Arabidopsis thaliana: one gene and its partner. The protein of the gene in region 1 purifies or fractionates together with the protein of each later gene. This does not show direct contact. Each region holds a gene or a part of one and is shown on either strand. Other genes may lie near its edges. The genes, in order: AT1G26880 and AT3G60245.

The links.
Region 2: the proteins of AT1G26880 (region 1) and AT3G60245 fractionate together in Arabidopsis thaliana (co-fractionation; one large-scale study listed by BioGRID). This does not show direct contact.

The regions. Positions count from the first base shown.
Region 1 is NC_003070.9:9,314,568-9,318,503, reverse strand, and holds AT1G26880 (Ribosomal protein L34e superfamily protein), read left to right. Parts: upstream 1-1,623; 5' UTR 1,624-1,822; coding exon 1,823-1,901; intron 1,902-2,024; coding exon 2,025-2,104; intron 2,105-2,342; exon of another isoform or gene 2,343-2,489; intron 2,490-2,574; coding exon 2,575-2,684; coding exon of another isoform or gene 2,685-2,706; exon of another isoform or gene 2,707-2,770; coding exon 2,771-2,864; 3' UTR 2,865-3,199; downstream 3,200-3,936. Other genes in the region: AT1G26890 (FBD, F-box and Leucine Rich Repeat domains containing protein), read right to left, coding at 1-60, 127-915; FEZ (NAC (No Apical Meristem) domain transcriptional regulator superfamily protein), read right to left, coding at 3,521-3,936.
Region 2 is NC_003074.8:22,267,046-22,270,836, forward strand, and holds AT3G60245 (Zinc-binding ribosomal protein family protein), read left to right. Parts: upstream 1-1,642; 5' UTR 1,643-1,757; coding exon 1,758-1,760; intron 1,761-1,963; coding exon 1,964-2,003; intron 2,004-2,275; coding exon 2,276-2,364; intron 2,365-2,462; coding exon 2,463-2,545; intron 2,546-2,641; coding exon 2,642-2,705; 3' UTR 2,706-2,983; downstream 2,984-3,791. Other genes in the region: EIF4G (eukaryotic translation initiation factor 4G), read left to right, coding at 1-239, 639-833, 920-1,250; CKB3 (casein kinase II beta chain 3), read right to left, coding at 3,669-3,791.

The DNA of each region.
Region 1 (3,936 bases):
TAAAATTTCTAATGCAGGGGAATCTATTACCAAGGATCTATTGAGATCATCATCATCATCCTCCTCTACCTCACCTACGTCAACTTCCTCAACCACACCTTCCTCATCATCCTCTACCTCATCTACATCATCATCATCCTCTACCTCATTTTCCTCTACCACGTCTTCCTCATCCTCTACCCCATCCTTCCGCCGAGTAGTATTATAATGTAACTGTTTCAAGGTAGATACTTTCACGGTAAATTTTGTCAAGTTGTCATCCTTATGTCGATCCACCTTCAGGCAGTTGAGAACAGGGGAGCTTGATAAAAGGCTAACAAGAGATTCTTCGTCTTTGTACACCACAAAGCGAAGACTCAGAGTTAAGAGAGATGGTAGGCGAACAGGGGAAGAAACGTTCACTAGAATCTTGTTGGATAGACTTAAATCAACGAGCGTGTTGCATGTGTAAAGGCACTTAGGAAATCCTGTGGGTTCTGCGGTCCAGAGGAGATTGAAATCTAACTCTTTCACACCTCTATTAACTACGTTCTCAACCCACTTTCCGACATCTACGTCAACAGGACAATGTGGACCGAGTTCCACAACCAAACTATCTAGTTTCGGTGCCTTATGGAGTTGCAATGACTTTTCAATAAACCACCCCACGCTCTCGCTGTCATCTTCTTTGAATTCGAGTCTAGGCACCATCGGCCAGACATAACGCCATCGTTTAGACAAGATTGAAGTGGCGACTGCCTCTTTTGTTGGGACGTGATGCAAGATCTGCAAGAGCAAATCGTTAGGAAAAGCACAGATTCTAGTTTCGTTTATCTGACAACTTTCGGTTTCTGGAACAGTTGATATATGCTCATCGTCGTGTATAATATCCCAAAAAAAAGACCAACAACTTAAGCAACCCATAGATGTGGCCATGTGGGATACCGGATACCTAGCTAGACGCCAATGGAACTTTTTTCTCGTCGCTGGCTGTGACACAAAAGTGAGTCTATATTATAAAGCTTTTTTTCAAAAAAAAACAATTATTATACAAATATTTATTATTTGTTCAAAGAAAAAAAAAAAAAAATATATATATATATATATATATATATTATTAATGCATATAAAAAAAGAAACTAAATTAAAGTTGCCCAATTTTTAAAGTAAAACTGCAATATAGACACACATAAAATATATCAATCGATTCTCATTCTTACATAATTGTTAGTTTTTTCCCTTAAAAATCTAATCATCAAACCAAACAAAATTGTTGAAAATCCAAATTTTCTAGCCTGGTCCTTATATTTCCATTTGTTATTTTGGATGAATTTATTTTCCAATTCCCAATTTTGCCGCCAACCTTGATTAATTTCTCTACTTGGCTTGCTCTAATTGCTTGCACCACGCCCTTGTAAATGTATCGATTATGTTTTTACGTGCCATGAATTTAAATTTTTTGTTGTTACACTATTTGATAAAATAAATTGAATGTGTTTTGACTAAACGGATTATAATACTAATTAATCTTTTTAAAGTTCTACGTATAATTTAATGCATCTATGATTTCTTAAAAAATCAAAATAAAAATTGGTAATAATGTTTCTAGTTTCTGTTCACTACAACATACAAACGATACTTATTCTAATTGCAGCTAATAATAGAATTGGTTTTTACAAGTTGAATTTTTTTTAATTATTTGTACATGGGCCTTTAACTGGAGCATAATTAAAGACCAAAATGAGAAAAGGCCCATATAGTTGTAGTCTTAGTTTAGGTTTGGAGTCTCACCCTTATATTCTTCGTTCCAAACGAAAACCCTAAAAGAGAAAAGGAGGCGAAAATGGTGCAGCGTCTTGTTTACCGGTCGCGACACAGCTACGCCACCAAATCGAACCAGCACCGTATCGTCAAGACTCCAGGTCCCTTTCTTCTTCTTCTTCTTCTTCCTTGATATCTTCAATCTCCTCTGCTTTAGTCTCATAATTCTCTAATCACCGATCTGTTCTTCATAGTGTAATGTGTGTTGGGATTGTTGATTTCAGGAGGTAAATTGGTGTATCAAACCACAAAGAAGAGAGCTAGTGGCCCCAAATGTCCTGTTACTGGCAAGCGTATTCAAGGAGTAAGTCTTCTGATTTCGATTTGGCTTCGTGTGATTTGGTTTACATGGTTCTTGTATCTAGAGTCTTGATTTGAGGTCTAGATAGAGTTAAGAGTTTGAATTTTTTAGGAATTTGATGGCTATGTATAACCAAATCAATCAGATTGAGTGTTTTAGAATGTTTTGAGTATTGATCAGTCTCATTTTTAATGGGCATGTCTTCTTATTTCAAGAAACCATGTTACTTAGTTAATAGTATTGTGCTTATTGACGGTCTTGTGCTGATTAGATAAATCCCACATCAGTACATAACATAAATCATAAGCTAAATTGTCGGTGCCACTTTGTCTTTCAAGTTGTTCCTTGTATTACATAAGGATTTGCTATCCACCTTTGGCATAAATTTTCAGTTTATTCCCAACTATATATGTTTGATTATGCAATGGCATATTCCTTTTGCATTATGTGAATAACTTTGTTTGTTTATTCAGATCCCTCACTTGAGGCCCTCTGAGTACAAGAGGTCAAGATTATCAAGAAACAGGAGGACTGTAAACCGAGCATACGGTGGAGTCTTGTCTGGTTCTGCAGTCAGGGAAAGGTTTGTTGTCCATCTTACTTGAGTCATCTTTCTATTACAATAAATTTGGTGTTCTTTAACGTAATGTTGTTTTTGGATTCCGACAGGATCATTCGGGCATTCCTTGTCGAAGAGCAAAAGATTGTGAAGAAAGTGTTGAAACTCCAAAAGGCTAAGGAGAAAGTAGCCCCCAAGGCTTAAGCTTTTATGTTTTATTCTTCTCTGTTTTGGAATTATGGCTATGTTCAAGTGATAGGACTTGGTGCAGTCATGTGAGGACATCTATGTTACTCGACCAATTTTTAAGCTTTGTATTCTGTTATCAGTTCTTAACTTTGTCGACAATTCTCTTCTCTTCAGTTTTGGAATTGTTGAATTCATCTTTAATGTTCTATTGTTGATGCATATCACATAAGCTGTTGTGATTACCTTCTTGGTTAATATAATATTTCTGAATCTCTCGGAGGCTAAATCAAGCTTGCACTTTAATGTTCTCAGCGTCATGACACAACTATGGAATAGCAATTTTGAGTCTTAAATCTTAACTATGCTTCAATTTTTGGGAATTCTACAACGACAGTCTCGTATGCGATTAATGAAGTCAGCTCCAGAAATAATATACTTACTGGTCTTTATTTTGAATATAGTAAAACTCGATTCAGTTTTTCTCTTGTTCATCTTGACTTACCTCATGCCTTCTTCATTAAAGCAAAGTTGCTTGTGAAAAATAAAAACTCAAGGAAGCATAATTAATAAACGATTTAATTTAGTGAAAGAGAAAGCCTACAAAGAGGAAATACCCTAGCTTGAAAAAAGCAAGCCAAGAAGGCAGAGATGGGAAAATCTATCCACATACATCAGGTTGTACTGGAGAAACAAGCTGGCAAATCGCTATTGATGGACGATAAAGAAGAATAATAACTCTCCAGCAATGTCATGTTCTGTTTCAGGTCTTGATGATGACGATGGTTCTCATTAATTGTTGAAGTGAAATCATCAAACCGAAGTGTGTCGCAATGATCACCAAGATGATCTTCATTGGAACCACGCATGTTCTTCATTATACCATTTCCTTCGAATCCCGTCTCTTGATACTCCTGTGGTAGGCTTACAAGCGGGGGACATTGCTCTTGGGCCAACACTGCGCTGAGGTCGATATGGCTCGTGAATTCTCCCAAGAAGGTCGAATCTGAAGACGTGTTTAGCAGAAACGATGGGATTTCATTTGACGAGGGGAGCCTGGGAAACTGAGGTTGTGTTTCTTGTGTGGCAA
Region 2 (3,791 bases), on another chromosome or scaffold:
TCACATAGACCTGCAAGTCCTGTTACTCACGGACGGTCAAGTCCTCAAGAGCGGGGAACAGCTTATGTTCATAGGGAATTTGCAAGTCTGTCGCGTGCTTCTGATCTGTCACCAGAAGTTTCGTCCGCTAGGCAAGTACTACAAGGGCCATCAGCTACAGTAAACAGTCCTCGAGAAAATGCTTTGTCTGAAGAACAGTTAGAGAATCTGTCATTGTCCGCAATTAAGGAATATTACAGGTACTATATCTCTCCTTTCTTGCTGGTCATTTGTTTCATTCTTCGCAAAGTCATCAGATACTGCCACATTTAGGAAATTATTCTGTGGGAACCTGTGTAGGTATAATTGGATCAAATTACAGTTCATTCGTTTACAGTTAGAGCGTTTGTTTACAACGACAGATCATCTGATAAAGTGTATATTTCTTGAAGTATGTAAATTAGAATTTGCTCCAAACAAAACGGCTTAAAAATACATATGAGAGACTTTGTTCTTTGACTTTAATAGAATCTCTAATACAGGGGTAAACTCTGTTTTTTTTACTGACTGTGCGTTTTATGTATGATGTTAGTTTCTATTCGTTTACCCTCTTTATTATTGATAAGCACTCTGGTGCGTTCCAATGTGTTCTTGTGCAGTGCCCGAGATGAGAATGAGATTGGTATGTGCATGAAAGATATGAATTCACCAGCTTACCACCCAACAATGATTTCTCTCTGGGTAACTGATTCGTTTGAGAGAAAAGACAAAGAAAGGGATCTCTTAGCAAAGCTCCTTGTGAACCTCGTGAAATCTGCTGACAACGCCTTAAACGAAGTCCAGCTAGTGAAAGGGTAAGTAAACAAAGCCCATAAATCTTGAAGCCCTAGTCTAATCAAACGTCTGTTGCTTAAATCTTTTACTGCTTTTTTTTTCACAGGTTTGAATCGGTTTTGAAAACCCTGGAGGATGCAGTAAATGATGCTCCAAAAGCAGCAGAGTTTCTTGGTAGAATATTTGGGAAAAGTGTGACAGAGAAAGTAGTGACATTGACAGAGATTGGTCGGTTAATCCAGGAAGGAGGAGAAGAACCAGGAAGTCTGATAGAGTTTGGATTAGGCGGCGATGTTCTTGGGAGTGTTTTGGAGATGATAAAAACAGAAGCTGGAGAAGAAACGTTGGTTGAGATTCGCCGGAGCTCAGGTCTGAGGATTGAAAATTTCAAACCTCATGCACCTAACCGGTCTAAGATATTAGAGAAATTTACTTAGGAAAAAAAAATGGAACCATCTTTTGGGTTCCTTTCTTCTTCTCTTTTTTTGTTTCTCTCTTAAAAGTCTTTTCTCTTTTCAAGTGCTTCAAACAAAACTAATTTGTTATAAAGGGAGTTTCTCTATTTTATTATATAGCAAAAAACTTCCAAAATTTCTCATTTCTGTGTTTAACCTTTTCGTACATCAGTTTTAAAGCACAGAGAGCTCAATGTTCTTCCAATATCGTTATTAATAAATTTTGATTAAATTCAATCAAATCGGAGTTATATTACCACATGAGGTTAAAGGGCCATATTAAAAAGTCTGCACTTCATATGAGCAACAAGGCTTTTATGTCTTTATGGTTGATTTGATGGCCCATATATGATAGTTCAAAGGCCCATATTAAAAAATGCCCTAACATGATTCGATTCGTATATAAAGACGCTTAATGTGACAAGCGAACTTGCTCATTAGGGTTTCTCATCTACGACGGCGTGGTGTTCCTCCTTCCTGCTCTGAAAAATGGTGAAAAACCTAATCCTTTCTTTTTGTTATTGTTCTTGAATCTCTGTAATTCCATAGCAAGTTATTCGAGTATACTTCCTTCTGTCTCGTTCTAGCTTTCGTTTTGAGATTTCAAGTTTCATAGTTGATCTGTGGATTCTGATAGAAGTCTAGTTTTGTGATTTTGTCTTTTGACTCTATTACTCTTTTTCGATGTTTCACAGGCGAAGAGAACGAAGAAGGTTGGAATCGTCGGCAAATACGGTAATGTTCCTGACTCATCTCTTATTGAATCGCTTAGGATGTTAATGCTATCGAAAATAAGGATAGGATCTGCAAATTTGCTTAGTCTTGTAGCTCATTTTAATGGAGTATATTAACATGTATCGTTCATTTTTGATTACATGTTGTCAATATGTAATGGATCTGTCTACACTGGTTTCATATTGCAATTCGTTCTTCATTTTGGGGTCTAAGTTGGTTATTATATGTATTGTGAGTTCTCTTCCTAACGTATGTATGGTTATGTGATTCAGGAACACGTTATGGTGCGAGTATCAGGAAGCAGATTAAGAAGATGGAGGTCAGCCAGCACAGCAAGTACTTCTGTGAGTTCTGTGGCAAGGTATGAAAGAGATTAACATTCAGTTACTGTTTTCATTTCTAAATCTCTTTTGGTTTTGGATTATTGTGGTAACTGTGGTTTGATCAAAATGATTGCAGTACGGAGTGAAGCGAAAGGCTGTTGGTATCTGGGGTTGCAAGGATTGTGGCAAGGTCAAGGCAGGTGGTGCTTACACAATGAAGTAAGTGATTTCTGAGTTATATTTGTATTAGCTTTGTGTTGGTTATCAATCAATGATTTGTTTTCTGATGAAATTGTTTTCGTTTGTGAATTGCAGCACCGCCAGTGCGGTCACTGTTAGAAGCACGATCAGAAGGTTGAGGGAGCAGATCGAGGGTTAAAAGTCTGCTGGCTTTTTATATTTGGTTTCCTTGTTTTGACAATTTAAGTTTTGCAAACTCTATGCTTGTGATTTTGAATCAAGACTTATACATTGAGCAGTTTAAGCAGGTTTTTATTTTTTGTTGAGTTAATTTTCAAAGTTTCATTACCAATAGTTCTAGCTATATAACCTAAAGTTAGGCTTGAGGTTTTGAATGTTTGATCCTATTCAACACCTAATTATAAATCCTTGAATCCTGATCTAATGTGATGTTTCTTATACTTTATTTTGATCAGCACTTCTTTAACCCTATAACTTGGTAACAGTATTCGCACGAGTCTTTACAGATCAAAATTTTTAGAGTTTGATGTGTGTTTTCAAAGTGCTTTACTAGAAATCCTTACGATAATACAATCTATAACTGAGTGTACTAAGTTTAATTACACAAAAGTCGGTGAATAAACAAATACTAACGTTACTGGTTTTTATGTCTGGCAATGATCTCTTATAAAATCTATATATTGACTTGTTTATATGCTTTTGTGTCGTAATCATCCTAAGATATTGGTCCCTTGAGTGTATTTTAATGGCCATACATGTCTCATTATGATCTTTGATGAAATTGATTGATCTAAGTTATACTTCAGTTGAAATTTATGAGTTTTACATGAAATTAGAAAAACGAATAATAATCCAACAGTTCAAAACAAAATCCAACTAACTGGGGAAAATCTTTTCGGAGACAACAACAAGACCCAAGTGTGTCGTTCTTTTCCCCCAATGAGCCAGGCTGTTGCACTTCTAAGTTTTCTTGGAACTTCATGAGATTCTTTCAAGATTCCATCTTTCAACTTCAGCTCTCATCCTCTAACCCAATGGTTGATGTATGCTCCAGTCACCGCAGCTATCGTTTCAGTTGCTCATCCGGATGCAATTACAGAGCCACTAAATGTATCACCATTGAGAATGCAGAGCACTAGTATCATGGTTTGTGTACCTTGAAGCCAAAGATTTTTGGGACATAGCTTTGAGTAGGCTTCTGCGGCTTTAAGTTCCCGTAAGTCATCAAGAACAAGTGAGGGAATGTGGTTCCAAAGTACGCTCC